Mus musculus: one gene and its partner. Each later gene encodes a partner of the first gene's protein in a complex. Links are inferred from orthologs where the notes say so. Each region holds a gene or a part of one and is shown in the gene's direction. Other genes may lie near its edges.

Evidence for each region. Proteins that work in one complex are often made in the same cells at the same time.
Region 2: Taf1b (region 1) and Taf1d share a complex: the UniProt entries of both Homo sapiens proteins name them as parts of the transcription factor SL1/TIF-IB complex. The link is inferred for Mus musculus from reciprocal best matches to the Homo sapiens genes TAF1B and TAF1D.

What each region holds. Positions count from the first base shown.
Region 1 is NC_000078.6:24,495,863-24,503,782, forward strand, and holds the start of Taf1b (TATA box-binding protein-associated factor RNA polymerase I subunit B), read left to right. Parts: upstream 1-2,718; 5' UTR 2,719-2,769; coding exon 2,770-2,787; intron 2,788-4,573; coding exon 4,574-4,672; intron 4,673-7,920. UniProt on the Homo sapiens protein: Component of RNA polymerase I core factor complex that acts as a GTF2B/TFIIB-like factor and plays a key role in multiple steps during transcription initiation such as pre-initiation complex (PIC) assembly and postpolymerase recruitment events in polymerase I (Pol I) transcription.
Region 2 is NC_000075.6:15,307,317-15,314,699, forward strand, and holds the end of Taf1d (TATA box-binding protein-associated factor RNA polymerase I subunit D), read left to right. Parts: intron 1-411; 5' UTR 412-437; coding exon 438-505; intron 506-1,208; coding exon 1,209-1,599; intron 1,600-2,542; coding exon 2,543-2,718; intron 2,719-3,041; coding exon 3,042-3,093; intron 3,094-4,210; coding exon 4,211-4,379; coding exon of another isoform or gene 4,380-4,396; exon of another isoform or gene 4,397-4,592; coding exon 4,593-4,705; 3' UTR 4,706-4,788; downstream 4,789-7,383. UniProt on the Homo sapiens protein: Component of the transcription factor SL1/TIF-IB complex, which is involved in the assembly of the PIC (preinitiation complex) during RNA polymerase I-dependent transcription.

The sequences.
Region 1 (7,920 bases):
GCCCAGGCTGGCCTTGAACTTATGATCCTCCTGCCCCAACCTCCAGAGGAGCTGTGATTAAGAGCTGCAGCATTACCTTTTGTTTTAGGATAAAATGTTCTGTAGATATCTGTTAAATCCATTTGTTTCATAACTTCTGTTAGTTTCACTGTGTCCCTGTTTAGTTTCTGTTTCTATGATTTGTTCATTGATGAAAGTGGTGTGTTGAAGTCTCCCACTATTATTGTCCCCCAGAGCTCCTGTTTCTAGCTGCATATGTATCAGAAGATGGCCTAGTCAGCCACCATTGGAAAGAGAGGCCCATTGGACTTGCAAACTTTATATGCCTCAGTGCAGGGGAACGCCAGGGCCAAGAAGCAGGATGCGGAGGGGGAGGTATGGGGGCACTTTTGGGATAGCATTGGAAATGTAAATGAAGAAAATACCTAATTAAAAAAACTTTAAAAAAAAAAAAAAGACCTGCAGCACTACCATACTCTACTGTCTTGTCTCTTGCCCATTTTTAACTGTTCATTATTGATTCATATAGAATTCTGGTTCTGTAAGTCCGTTCCTGAGCAGAGGAGTGTCAACACTTTTTGTCTTTTCTTTGTCTTGCTGATGTTTCTATTATTCATTTATTTCCAGTCTCAGAGCTTGAGCTCATGGTCTTCCACATGATAGGCAAGCACACTGCCACTGAGTGACGTCACAGCCCTAAGACAATTTCTGAAGTAGCTATCAGATTATTCAGATTTTTCTATTTCTTCTTGTATATTTTTAAATAATGTTGTTTTCTTTTTTCTTTTCTGGGTTTTTTTTTTTTTTTTTTGAGACAGGGTTTCTCTGTGTAGCCTGGCTGTCCTGGAACTCACTTTGTAGACCAGGCTGACCTCGAACTCAGAAATCCGCCTGCCTCTGCCTCCCAAGTGCTGCGATTAAAGGTGTGTGCCACCACCGCCTGGCTAATGTTGTTTTCTTAAAGAAAAAAAGTAGCTTCCTTTGAAACATTCAAATGTAGGCAGACAGTGGTGGCACAAGCCTGTAATCATTTGGGAGGCAGAAGCAGGCAGATCTCTGAGTTCAGCCTGGTCTACAGGTTGAGTTCCAGTACAGCCCAGACTACACGGAGCAACCCTGTTTGGAAAGAAAATTTAAATGTACTGGCTTAGGGTTTTTCATAAAACAGATTCTCAAACAAAAAATGTGTATCTGCATTAAAGATCCTTCTTCAGTGAGACCTTTCCAGACCACCCCTCTCACTGCATTTAACATGTCTTCCTTATTCTTCCCTATTTCATTTTTATTTTATGTGTGTAAATGTTTTGCCTGCATGTATGTGTACACCATGTCTGTGCCTGGTACCCACGTCAGTAGATAATGGCACCTGATCCCCAGGAACTAGAGTACAGATAGTTGTGAGCTGCCATGTGGGTGCTGGGAATCAAACTGAAATCTTACAAGAGATGCCAGTGCTCTCTTAGCTGCTGAACCATCTCTCCAAACCCATGATTTTCTTATTTTTGTCTCTTCCTACCATAGTATTGATATTAAAGTCAATTAGCCTCACTTTATTTAGTACCTCTGTAAACTACTAAACTCCTAGCACGTAGTAGTCCCAAGGTGGGAGGAGGCAAAATAGGTTTAGCTTTCTAAATTATGACCCTTTATTTTTAGTACCTTCATTAATTTGCAAATTGCAGAGACCCCCTCTCCTCTGGGCTTGGAGATCCTTTCCCTCTAACATCTATAATATCAAGAGTTTCCTTTGTTCTCCAGAGTGCTGCAGGATCCTTGACATATCCCAGCCTACCCTGCTGGGGACCTTATCATCTGAAATCCATCTCAGCTCTTCTCTACTGCCCCTGGAAAGAATTTTTAGTATCTAAAACAAATGTCAGGCTCTGGTGGCACAGGCCTTTAATCCCAGCACTCAGGAGGCAAAGGCAAACACATGTCTCTGACTTCAAGGCCAGCCTGATCTACAAAGTGAGTTCCAACACAGACAGGACTACTCAGACAAACCCTGTCTGGAAACAAATAAGCAAAAACAATTAAATAAACAGATATAAATGTTCACAAAGGTGGAGACTTATTTTGTTCACAGGAAAATCTAAAACAACTTTAGTTTATGGAATGAAGCAGGGGATTAGTGTGTTCAACGAGGGAACAAGAGATAAATGTATTAAGAATTTATTAAACGAGACATAATTATATTCATAGGCAAACATATATTTTTTACACAGGAGGAGGTGAAGGTACAAGAAAGAAATAGAGTTATGACTAGAAATCTTGGTCTGGGGATGTTCAGTGGTGTGGAGTTCTTGGCGAGCATGCACTAGGAGGGTTTGGTTCCTAGGATCTGGGAAGTTAAAAAAAATTTCAAATAGACAACCAGTTCTAGTTCAACAACCTGTGTTCAAACACTGAGAACACATTTTGTAAAACCCAGAAGCCGGAAGTCATGGCACACGCCTTTAATCCCAGCTCTCAGGAAGCAGAGGCAGGTGGGGTTCAAGGCCAGTGTAGTCTCCTGAGCTGAGTTCCGGGAAAGCCAGAGCCACAAAAACAAAACCACAGAAAATCCTCGTAGGTCTGAGCTCTGTCACTGGGGCCTGGTCCTGGTCCTGTACTGCCTGCCAGAAACCTGGGTCTTGAGTCCCACAAGGGCAGCACAGAAGACTCCTGGAACGCAAAGGCAGAGGCTGTGTTTCCGACCGGAGCGCTCTCCCCGTCTCTCCCGGAAGCGGCGCTTGCTGTTTGGGTAACGGTGTCTGCAGCGGAGCCTCGATGGATGTGGAGGAGGTGGTAAGGACCTAGAGGAACGCGTGCAGCTCCCACTCGCGTTCCCTAACTCAATGGGCCAGGGATAGCCAGGAGGAGGAGGAGCAGCGCCCAGGGCAGGCGTCGGCTCGGGGCGGTGACCCGCATAGGGGGCGGAGCGAAGGGGCGGTGGCCACTTGGGCCCCGGAACCTGGCTGCTTGTCCGCTCTGGGAGGTTGCGGGTGGGATTGGGTGGAGTGTTTGTTCAGAGGGGCCGTGGGCCAGAAAGAGGATGAAACTGTGGGCTTGTGGGTTGGCCACCCCCGTGGCTCCTTGGAGGAGACCACCCAGCAAAGCTCCCTTTGATGCTGGTTGCGCGTGAGGAAGAGCAGGACCTGGAACTTGGGTTGCCTCCAAGTAATCCCTGTCAGCCTGTCTAGGGTACGGACACCAGACTCTTGCCGAGGACGTTCTAATGTGCTTGCTATCTTAGGGTTTCTATTGCAGCGATGAAACACCATGACCAAAAAAGCAAGCTGGGGAGAAAAGGGCTAACACTTCTATATGATTGTTCATCATCTAAAGAACAGGGCAGGAACTTGGAGGCAGGAACTGATGCAGAGGCCATGGAGGGGTGCTGCTTACTGGCTTACTCCTCATGATTTGGTCAGCTTACCAGGTTCTGTAAAACCTAGAGCTACCAGCCCAGAGGTGACACCACCCACAATGGGATGGACCCTCCCTCATCAATCACTGATTAAGAAAGTGCCTTACTGGCCTACCTGCCACCTGATGGTATGGAGGTATTTTTCTTAATTGAGCTTCCCTCATCTCAGATATCTTCAGTTTGTGTCAAGCTGACACAAAACTATCCAGCACACGTGCCCACACCTCACTGTAAGAGTGGTTAGGAAGCTGCTGCACTTTGCATGCACTGTGAACATGATGGGTGTATTCAGTAGCTGACCCATAAGTCAAACACCAAAGAATTAGGAACCAGTTCTCTGTGTGTGCACTGACAGAATAATGATAGAGGGACTCAAGGTAGACAGTAGATACTATCTGTATCCATGACAAATGTAATAATGTCTATATAATACATTGATAAACCTAAAATTATAATCCATATAGACCATAAGTGGACCATATGCTCCTTTTGCTTCCAGTAGAACCCCTAAGCACCCAGTTAAACGTTTGGTACTCATACAGTTGATACCCTTTATATGGTTGGATGAATAAATCAAAACTCGACACATCTGCCTCAGTGCCCCAAAGAAAAAGTCAACAGTGTTTTCAATCTTTGTTTGCTTTGATCATCCATACGGTGGGTCATCCTTTTCTCCCTCAGCTCTCCCAGAGAGTTTACCTATATCTTTGTTTCCAATCTAGCCCTGTCCACCTTTCTTTCTTTGTTCTCACTCTGTATATTTCAGTAGTTTTATGGAATAGTTACTGCATTTCATGCTACTAAAGAGACGAGACTCAGGCTGGCAAGATGACTCAGCCAGTAAGAGCACTGACTGCTCTTCCAAAGGTCTTGAGTTCAATTCCCAGTAACCACATTGTGGCTCACAACCATCCCTAATGAGATCTGACGCCCTCTTCTGGTGCATCTGAAGACAGCAACAGTGTACTTATTTATAATAATAAACAAATCTTAAAAAAAAGAGAGAGAGACTAAATTCTCCTTATTTATAGATACTGTCTGTGTATTTTTAGTTTGATTGTTTTTTAATTTGGGGGGATGAAATTGCCAGGAACACTGGAAGTAGAGTTCAGAACCATGGTGCAGTGTGTTGGCCCGACAATAACAGATTTCTATCTTCCACAGAAAGCGTTCAGAGACCGCTGTTCTCAGTGTGCTGCTGTCTCCTGGGGCCTTACCGATGAAGGCAAATATTACTGTACTTCCTGCCACAATGTCACAGATGTAAGTAATGTGCCATTCACGAACTTGATTATGTTCTCAAAATTGAAGTTTCCGGGTGGTATGTGGCCTGACTCCTAAACAGTGCATCGGTATCACTCACTCAATGGCTGAATTCCAAGAATAGAAACAGGCTTTAAGAGCACAGTCTTAGATTAAGAAATTTGCAAACTAGATTGGTGATGAACTTCTAAAGTTACGTTGAGTCACATTTATAAATGAATGTTTCATTTACACTATATGCATATGGAAGTTTTTTGTTGTTGTTTTTTGTTTGTTTGGTTGGTTGGTTGGTTGCTTGGTTTTGGTGTTTTTGAGACAGGTTTTCTCTATATAACAGCCTCGGTGTCCTGGAACTTGCTTTGTAGAGCAGGCCAGCCTAGAACTCACAGAGATCTGCTTACCTTTGCCTCCTGAATGCTGGGATTAAAGGCATGTGTCACCATGCCCAACATGAAGTATTTAACATTATACTTGAAGGATATTTTTATTAGTTTTTAATGTGTTGTACCAGCTTAGAGATTTGGAGGATGGAGTGTTAGAATGCAGGGGGACTGTTGGGCATATTGGAACCAGGCTTCCTTACCATGTATCTTTGTGTAGTTCCTCACAACCTACCAAGTACTTTCTCATCCAGTATGTAATTTCTGCTTCACAACAACCTGTGAGATACAACAGTATGCCCAGAGAGAGTAAGCAGGGCTCAGGAGTCATTAGTGGTTTTTGTTGTTGTTGTTGTTTTAAGACAGAGTCTGACTATGGAGACCAGACTGGGCTCCCACTTAGAGATCCAAGAGAGCTAGGATCCAAGCCACGCACCACCACACCTGACACCACCACACCTGACACAGTTGAGTTTGTGGCTAATGCCACAGGAGTACAAAGACTTGGGACAAGACTTGAATCTGAGTCTTCTAACCCCATCATGCCTGTTTCTTAAACTAAAGATTGTCACTCTGTATTGTGTAGTCATGGTGTTCGGGGCCATCTCCACCCTGAAAGTTCTAGGTCCTGGTCTGGTGAGCATACCTTTAGGCCAGTAACAGAGTGTGGACAGCCTGATGCTGGACTAGCTAAACGTGCCATGACTGTTTTTCATAGGGAAGGATTTGCTGGAAGTGCAGAGCCAAGAAGGAATAAGCACTGCTTTCAGCACTTATTCAGAAGGGCTAGCTGGGGTGGAAGAGAGACTGTGCCCCAACGTAGAGCATGATAGGGACTGACGTGCCTTCCCACCTCAGACAACTCAAAATCTGCGCAGAAGATGTAAAACAACAACAAAAGCCACCTTAAGACACATAGCTAATTTAGCAGATGACTCAGTTTCACAAAGCACTTTGCTTTTTAAAAGGTATGTATATGTATGGGTATGTGCATGTGCGTGTGAGTGTAGGCGTCTATGGAGTCCAGCAGGGGGAGCTGGGTTTGGGATGGTTGTGATGGAACCCAAAGGTCTTCTGCAAGACCTGGGCATGCTCTCGGCCCTGAGCTGTCCCTCCTGCCCCACACAGGGTGTTCCTTTGAGGTGGCTTCTTTAGTCTATAGCTCAGGTGCTTGTTTGCTTCCTCGTTAGTCAGACAGGATATTGCCCAGATATATACTTAACTAAAACACTGGGCAATGAGGGAGCAGTGATCTCCTTGATCATGGCAGTGCAGACATGTCCCATCGAGATATATAAATGCTCATGTACACAAATGCATCAGATTACACTTGAAATGTATGCAGTTTATCCTGTGCTTTGATGCTCACTGAAGCTCCAGTGGTTTAGTCAGTGTTAATTTTATAGTGTGGTTCAAATGTAAACATAGTGAAGGAGTGGGATGTCATAATGGGGGAGTCTCCATTTGCAGATGGAGTCAGGGCACTATTTTTATAGGCATTGAATAGCCGTAACTAATGACTTCTTTTATCTTTATCTTTGATGTTTCTTGGTTTGGTCTGATTAAGTCAATTACCATCATTTTTAGTTTGAAACAAATATAATATTACTACTAAGCTCTATATTTAAGAGTCTCAACCCAAGGGAGTGAGGATGTACAGTTCTTGAAGGTGTATGACATTTTTTTTTCTTTTCCTACTGTTCAGGGGCATGATCTAGTACATTCTGTGTGCTGGACAAGTGTCCTATTAACTACAGCCCTGGTCCCAATGTGTTTTTGTAAAAGGCTGTGACCCTGAGAAGCTGCCCTCCACACAATAGGCAAACCCGAGGGAAGTTATACAACTTCAATTGTTACTCTTGGCTTTACACTAACCCAGGCATGTTCAGCACACAGAATAGTGTTCAGCTGTGCTTCCTGGAGTTGTGTAGTGTGGTGCTGTTGAAGTTCAGTGGGTGAAGAATGACCAGTGAGTCAGTAGCCTGGGACAGGTGGAGGCTGCGATACAGCTCTCCTGACGGTCTGCTTCTCTCCTCTCCCCTCAGTGCACTGTGTGTGATTCTTCAAGCTCTTGGCACTGTGTACAATCCCAGCAAAGCCTTCTGTGTGGAAGGCTTTTTTCCTGGTGTGTTTTAGTCAGGAAAAAGAACTTAAGGTCCTTAATCTGGCCAGTTTAGATGACATATATTTTTTTTGAAAATCCTTAAGTATTTAATACTAGTATGGGCTTAAATTATGTGAGTTTAATAGATTTTGTAAGAACAGTGCATGCTCATTGAAGGAGATTGAAAACTATGTGGAAGCCCAAGTCACCGACACTCTCAGTCTACACTCAGCAGCTCTCGTCCAGTCTTTTGTTTTTCAGTGTATGGAAAGGGATAGGGATGCTTGCGAGTACTACTGAGTATTTGTCTTGGTGGTTTCTACTGTGTGGTTCAAAGTGTCACAGCTTTCTATTAAGTATGTGAATATTCCACGATCTAACCATGGCGGTGTTAGCCTTCTAGTTTTTTGTTGTTCTATGTCTTACATAGTTCAAGTGTAAAGCCCCTTTCACCTCTGACAGTTATCTTTTCTAGATAACTTCAGTGTTATTTTGGCATGTCTTATCTTCTCACTATAGCCTCTTCCGTATATCATAGTGCTTTGATAACAATATCTGCACCCAGAAATCCTATAGTCAGAGGCATGTCTCTTACTATCTTTGAGATTGGTCTCATGCAGCCCAGGCTGGCTCTTGGGGATTGGACTAGGATTTGGGCATCTTAGGTTGCTGGGGTACTCCTCATCTTGTACCTTTTATTCTTATGAGACTTACTCTGCAAGGGGTAGTAGGGCCTAGAACTCTAGCGCTTAAAGGGCAAGGGC
Region 2 (7,383 bases), on another chromosome or scaffold:
CATATCCCAACTACCCGAACTCTGTTTCAGTGTCGAGTTCGCAGCCCAGATTGGAATTAGAAATGCTACTGTGAGGCTAGGTGGTGGTTAAAGCCATGTCGGGTTTTGGGGGTAGATTTAGTGAGAAAACAAACTGCATTGGAATGTGGCTTCTTGTTTTCACTCACATATTTAAAGAAAACTATGCCATATGTGTGAGGGTACTCTGGAAGACAAAAGATCACTAACAGGGAGCTGGAGTTAACAGGAGATTGTGAGCAACCCGATGTGGATACTGGAAACAAGCCCACTCAGAGGCTTTAAAGTAGATATAAAATGTACTATCCATAGGGATTTTACAGAAATTCACACAGTGGGAAGGAGTATGCTGAACTTAGACTGCTGGTACATCATTGAAATCTGTGATTGCAGAAAATTGGGAAAGGCCGCGAAAAGTGATGGCTCAATCAGAAGTGAATTCTGTCTGTGTGGCATCGGATAGAGCTGGAGATACTGGAGACCAAAGGTAAGGTAGCTTTTGTGGGTAAACTAGAGATTCAGTCCAAATGTTCAATTTATTTTTGAGACATCTCAGTAGATAGAGCCATGGCTGCCCTCACCCAGGTAATCCTGCCCATCTACCTCTCAAGAGTTGGGATTAAAGGCATGTTACCACACCCTGCACTCCAGCAAGTTATTTGTAATGCTTGTACTTAAAATAGATAGAGAGAACCTCAATTAGCATTTATATTAGCTTGACAGTTTGATTAAAACTGTATAATTCTACCAACCTGAACATGTAGGAATGGAACATAGTTTATTTTTTCCAAGAAAACTACATTTGGGGGGCTAGTTCTGGTTTTATTGGCCCATTTTTGTTTAGTAGGTAGATAGTGGAAGCTTTAGTGATTAAGTGGTGCTTTTGAAAGTTAAAACTGAACATTTTAACCAACTGTCTTGTTTTAGATATAATAGTAAGTACTAGTGGTTAACTGGTACTGAATCTATTCTAAAATGCTGGGTATGATTTTAGGGGGTTGATCTTTGAAGAAATGCACTTTGAAATTTTAACATGGTTTTTAGGTTTGTCATGCTTTTGTCTGGTGTTCTAAGGGCAGTAAAGGCTGTTGGAGCTGTGAACTGAAGGAATGCATGATTGGGAGCATGGCCTTGAAACTCGGGGAGGATTATAGCTAATGATAACTGATGCAGTTTCATTTTTGTTTTAGTGATGACTCCTCTGATGGCAGCTTATTTAAAACTCAGTGTGCTCCTTCACCTATACAAAAGCAAAGACACCCTACTGTGAAACGTGTTACTTTACCTGCAAGTGTTGAAACAGATTCATCAAGTGACTCTTCTATAGAACCAAGGCCTCTGACTTTAAAGGCTATTTTTGAAAGATTTAAAAAAAAGAAACGGAAAAAGAGGAAAAAGAGAAAATATGAGCCAAAATTAAGACCAAGAGGAAGACCAAGAGGAAAACCATCGGGAACGAGGATCACTAGAAGGTCGCAAATAGATGCAAAACAAATTAAAGACAAAGGAGCTGTGTTTCCATTCTTAGAATCTGAGAGTGGAAGAAAACCTTTACCTTGGAAGAAAATTTTAACATATGAGGTGAGTTTTTTTTTTAAATGTAGGTGAATACATTAGGTAAGATTGAATGGTTTGTTGGCCATTCTTAATTGTTTGAGGGACACCTGAAACAGATTGTTACTTTTAACAATAGTGACATCCATATAAAGTGCTCCAATTTTCATCTCTTGCATCACTAGAGAAATGTGCACAAGCATATTTATCAGTGTGCACACAGATTTATGGAGTTGTACTCCAGCTGGGTCCCTTGAGGTCCCTTATATTATCTCTAGACTATTCTGAAGCACACCACACCCAGCTTGCTTTCAGCAGTAGTCAATCCTTTGAGTACAGGCGAGAGAGAAGGTATGGTACCATTTAAGGCCCACTTTTAGAAGTCCCAGGAAGGGCTGGAGAATAGGACCATGAAGGAAGCTGCTGGTCCTGGGCATTGTTAGCCTAGGACCTCTTGCTCAGAATGGTAACACCCACCCACAATCTAGGCAATCATACAAAGATCCTCTGTTGAGGATCCCTTCTAGGGTAATTCAGAGCTATGCCAAATTGACAGTTAAAAGTTAACTAGTCAAGGGCTAGAGAGAAAAACCCAAGTACCCAGATACTACTTAGGTTTCTCAAATGTTTGAGTATTAACTGTTGAATGGTTGCAAGTGGTCGGAAAATGTAATCAGTGATTAATGTCTACTTTGTATTTATTTGTGTATGCACGTGCAGACATGGCAGAGCTTGCCAGTTTGGGTTGTCTTCCTATTCACCTTGTTCTTATTGTCTTTACTACCCAAGTCTGGAATTACAGTAGAACCATCATGCACATAACATTTACGTGGTTTCTGTGCTCTCACATCTGGTCCTTTTGATGAACGGCAAGCCATTGTTTATTTAGCCTCTTGGTACAGTTTCAAACTTGATTATAATTAGTATATGATGTTTTAATATTTAAGGAATTGTGTGTTCTAACTTGCAGCAAGCTGTTGCAAGAGGATTTTTTCACCACATTGAAAAACTCAAGTATGAACACCACCTTAAGGAATGCTTGAAGCAAATGCATGCTGGGGAAGATTTAGAAAAGGAAGACCTTGACAGTCGGAGGCACAAATACATGGATGATGATGGTTCACTTTCTCCTATTGAAGAGCCATTGTAAGTTGGATCTTGAAGGGCAATTTATGGGGTTTGTCATATTTAAGCTAATTTAAAGACAGTCTCACTACTGTACAGCTTTGGCTAGGGTTGAACTCATTTACCTGCCTCTCAAGTGCTGGGGTGGGTGTGCCATCTATAAAATGAAGATCCTATAAAATTCTTCAGTAGTAATCGTAACTTCTAGTCCATTTAAGATTGTTTAATCTGAGGTAATGTGCACAGGACATCAGCTTTGGGAGGATTATTTTTCTTTGACTATAGGTTTCAATGGTATCAGAATACTAGGTAAGATTTGTGACACATTCCATTTAATGTTACAGAACTGAAGATGAAGCAACAAATCCTCAGGCTGAATGTGATATCAAGTTGGTTGTAAGTGGCTGATTTTTATTGTTTCATTTACAGAATGTACAAGTTGTATACTATTGAATTTTTGTTTAAGAGTGGAACTACTATTTAGGCTATTTGATAACCAAGGATTTTTTTTTTTTTTTGTGACTCTTCCTCTTAGTCCCAAGTGTTGGGGTCTGAAGCCTTGTCCACATTTATATTTATGCCAAGGTATCATACTGCTGAGTTATAACGCTAGCTTTGAATATTTGTAGGATATTGAGGCCAGAGGTTAGACTGGCCTCTTGAGACCTCAAACCAGTGGATTAACCTACCAGCATGGTCTTTGCTCCTGCTATTGGCTTACAAAATGTGTATCTCTGCCTGGCTCCAGTCTTAAGATTTTTTTTTTTAAACTCAGTATTATGTTTTGTTTGCATGTAAGTATACCAGGTGTATGCCTGGTGCCTGGAACTGGTAGGTGCAAGGAATTGAATCTTAGTCTTAATTAAGAGAAGAAGCCAGTGGGCTGGTGAGATGGCTCAGTGGGTAAGAGCACCCGACTGCTCTTCCGTAGGTCCAGAGTTCAAATCCCAGCAACCACATGGTGGCTCACAACCATCCGTAACAAGATCTGACTCCCTCTTCTGGTGTGTCTGAAGACAGCTACAGTGTACTTACATATAATAATAAATAAATCTTTAAAAAAAACAAATAAAAAACATTCAATTTAATATGTAAATGTTAATTGTTAAAACTTTAAAAAAAAAAGAGAAGAAGCCAATGTTGTGGCTTATTTTGTGCTGTTTATTCTATACTGTTTTCTACTTAACTGTGTGAGTGCTTTACCAGCATGTATACCTGATTAATGGAAGAGGGCACCAGGTCACATTTACCATATGGTTGCTGAAATTTAATGCAGTACCCCTGAAAGAACAGCCATTGGTGTTTAACTGCTGAGGCATCTTTCTAGCCCTGAAAAGCCAGTATTTTTAACCACTGATCTAGCTTCTGATAAAATAATAAAGAACTTTTAGCTAATCTGGTGTGCTGTCAAATGAGAAAATAGTGCTGGTATAGTAAGGAATATATTTGCACTCACCCATCAGTGAGTTTAGTTACTAGTTTTTTTGTTTTTTTTTTTTTCTATTAAATGCAGGAAGACAGTTGCTTCATAATAAGTTCAGAATTCTCAAGGAAGAGAAACTTGGAACAAGAGAAGATTAAGAAAGAATCTACATTTTCTAAAAAAGCCAAAGATGCCACACACAGAGAGAAAGGGCACAGAAGAACCTTGAAAGGAAATGAACATGTGACTATTGAAGAAGGTAAAGAACATAGATAACAGTGTATGCCAAGTAGATCAAGAACTAATCTGGGGAAGAAGATAAACTTGCTGGTGGAACGCTAATAAATACTTAGTAAAGCTTTTTTCGTTGCTTGATTTCAGAGTAAGAAATACTATAAGGATTATTTTACTACTATAGTAAACATGATTGTGATTCTGGAAGGAAAATGCTAACAATCCTATACATGTCTAGATTCAAGACCCCAGCCTCGCCCTTTTGCTCATCTGCAGAGCAAGGTCATGAAGAAAGGAGAGTTAGAGTATCTGGAGGTTCACCACCTCTGTGGTCTGTCGCAGCCACTATGACTATGAGGAGGAAGAGATGATTTGAAAATTGGATTAAACTCCTGGACTCTTATACTAGAAAAAATAAACTAATGATAAAACCCAGCCTCTTAAGTGCTTAGCCCAAATTATTTCATATTTGTGTGTTTTGCCTACATGCATATGTGTGCAGTACCCAAGATCAGAAGGTATCTGTGCCTGGAGATCTAAAGTTACAAGATGGTAATTAGCCAGCCATTGTTGGTTATGAATATGATTTCCTTTCCTATTCATAGATGGGCAGTGGTGGCGCATGCCTTTGATCCCAGCACTTGGGTGTCAGAGGCAGGTGGATTTCTGAGTTCAAGGACAGCCAGAACTATTCAGAGAAATAAAAAAAAAGTTATTATCTGAGCTTTCTCTTCGAACCCACACCCAGGTTCTGTCTGCAAGTCTTAAGTCAAACAAGTGCTTATCTTCCCCAAGGGGGGTTTGAATATTACCACTGTTCCTACTGTCCTATTGTGGTCACAATTGTAAAACTGGCTGTGTCAGATATGGACAGCTTTGATAGCACTTGTGTTTTTGTCAGCTGTTGGACAATGGCCAGTTGAACAGGTGCAAAAATATAAATCCTCTTGCAACCCAGAACTCATTGCTCAGTATGAGTTTTGATATATACAAGAAGGAATATAAGCACAAAGGTGTTATTGATGAACTTGGTTCTAGCAATATCATATATAGTTTACCTTATAAAGGTAATGGAGTAGATGGATATTCCTTTTTTTTTAAAGGCTTGTCTTGATTATGAAGTCAGAATTGGAAGATACCCATGAATGGATGTTTGTTTCAGTGTTGTAAGTAGCATGTAAATTTACATCTTCGGAGTTATGTTAACTTTCAGTGATGCTAATTCTATGAAAGTTTTAGAGTGCTCCAACCCCTCAGTAAATCCTAGAACATTAGAATCAATAATTTGAACTGAAATAGGTATGTTTAGCAGAAGAACACAAAAATAAGGCTTTAAGGTCTTATACTCAATTTACAATATTATAAACTTCTCAAGCATGGTACATCACAAATACAGTGTTTGAAAAGTGAGTTAACTAAGAATCAGACTGCCACTTTATTTAGTTTTATCTATCTGCCTGATGTAATTGTCTCTGAGCCTTACTGCCCATCTGCTAAAGAAGGCCTATCCTTGGAAGCTTACAATCTGATGTAGGTTTAGAATGTTTTCAGCCTTGGAGACTTTGCTGAAAAAGCTCACCCTTGATATTGTCTGGTTTACCTCAGGTGTTCTGGCTCATTCCTTCAAGCTGACTGATTCATTCTGACTTCTGCCTCAAACTACCTTGCAATCTGTTCTGATCTGGGCTCTTCACTCTTGGCTCATTCTGTATTCACCTGTGTCTAGCTTGATCTCTCTTAACCTGTCTTTGTAAAGTTCTCCTAGTAAAAATTGCCTCTTGCCCTCTTACGTTGCTTCTCTTCTGACATTTGGGCATATCTTATTCTGTTAAATCTTTTTCACTTTGTCTGCTACTCAATTAGACATCACTTTCATGGGTGCTTTATCTTTCTTCATTGTTTAGGATTAAAGGTATGTGCGTGTCTAATTCCAGCCAGCACAACCATGTTGCTGGGTTAAAAAAAATCACTACAGTAAAAGCAGTAAAAGTGAGCTTGAGAGTTCAGCACTGTAAGAATGCAACCTTGAGTTTAAGCTAGGCAAAATTCTGAGATTACAATGTGATTTCCTATTCATAGATGTCCATATAAAAGATGGCTGGAGAGCTTCACAGTTGTTGAAATGATTGCTTTTGAGGTCTATCCCGACGGGGCTTCCCTAGTAGCCAGACGTCGTTGGAAACGCCTCATACAGTAACTTGTGGTTTTACTTGACTCACAGGACTGACTGTTAGGTCTGTGGGAAGGAACTACAAGACAGCTAACAAAGTATAAAACTGATGTGTTAATTTTGTTTTGTTTGTTTGTTTTTAACTTTAGGCACTGGCACTTCCTTCATAAAGATTAGAGTTGTGAGTGTGAGGTAAGTTTTAGTGACACTAATTTTGGGAAAAGATAGTTCCAGTTCAGATGATGAATTCAACTGTTCAACTGCTGAATGAGCCAAACATGAACTAACATTAACTCTGACAGAACTGGCTGCAGCTGGTAATCATAGTAACCTTGGCAGTTTTTATAACTGAAATGACAGCCTTTTTAAAAGTCATGTGTTGTTCTCTAGGAATGGATATGAGAAGACCCTAAAGAGATGTTTGGTAAGTAACTAGTTTTGTTTTTTGTATAAAGAATTGTAGATCTCCAGGTCGCATGTAAGTTCTCAGAAAAACATTTGCTATGTGTACAACCTAGAAAGTCGTCCTCACTTTGCTAGGCTAGTACAAGTACATCACTCAAATGCCAAATCAGAATAACTAGAAATGTTCATTCAGTAGGGATAAAAAGATACACCATGTACTAGTCCCACACCTAAAATTCTATGAGTTGAGAGTCTGAGGTGAGAAGTTTCAAGTACAATCTGAGAAATGGAAACTTTGTCTCAAGATCAAATTCTTGGCTGGGTAGCTGGCACAGTAAATATAAGTTCAAAACCCTAGCAGCCAGGCACGTATGATGGCTAAATCTGGAAGCTCTGATTTTAGTGAGAAGCCTTCAGTGAATAGTATTTGGAGTGCTCAGGGAAGGTAATCTAT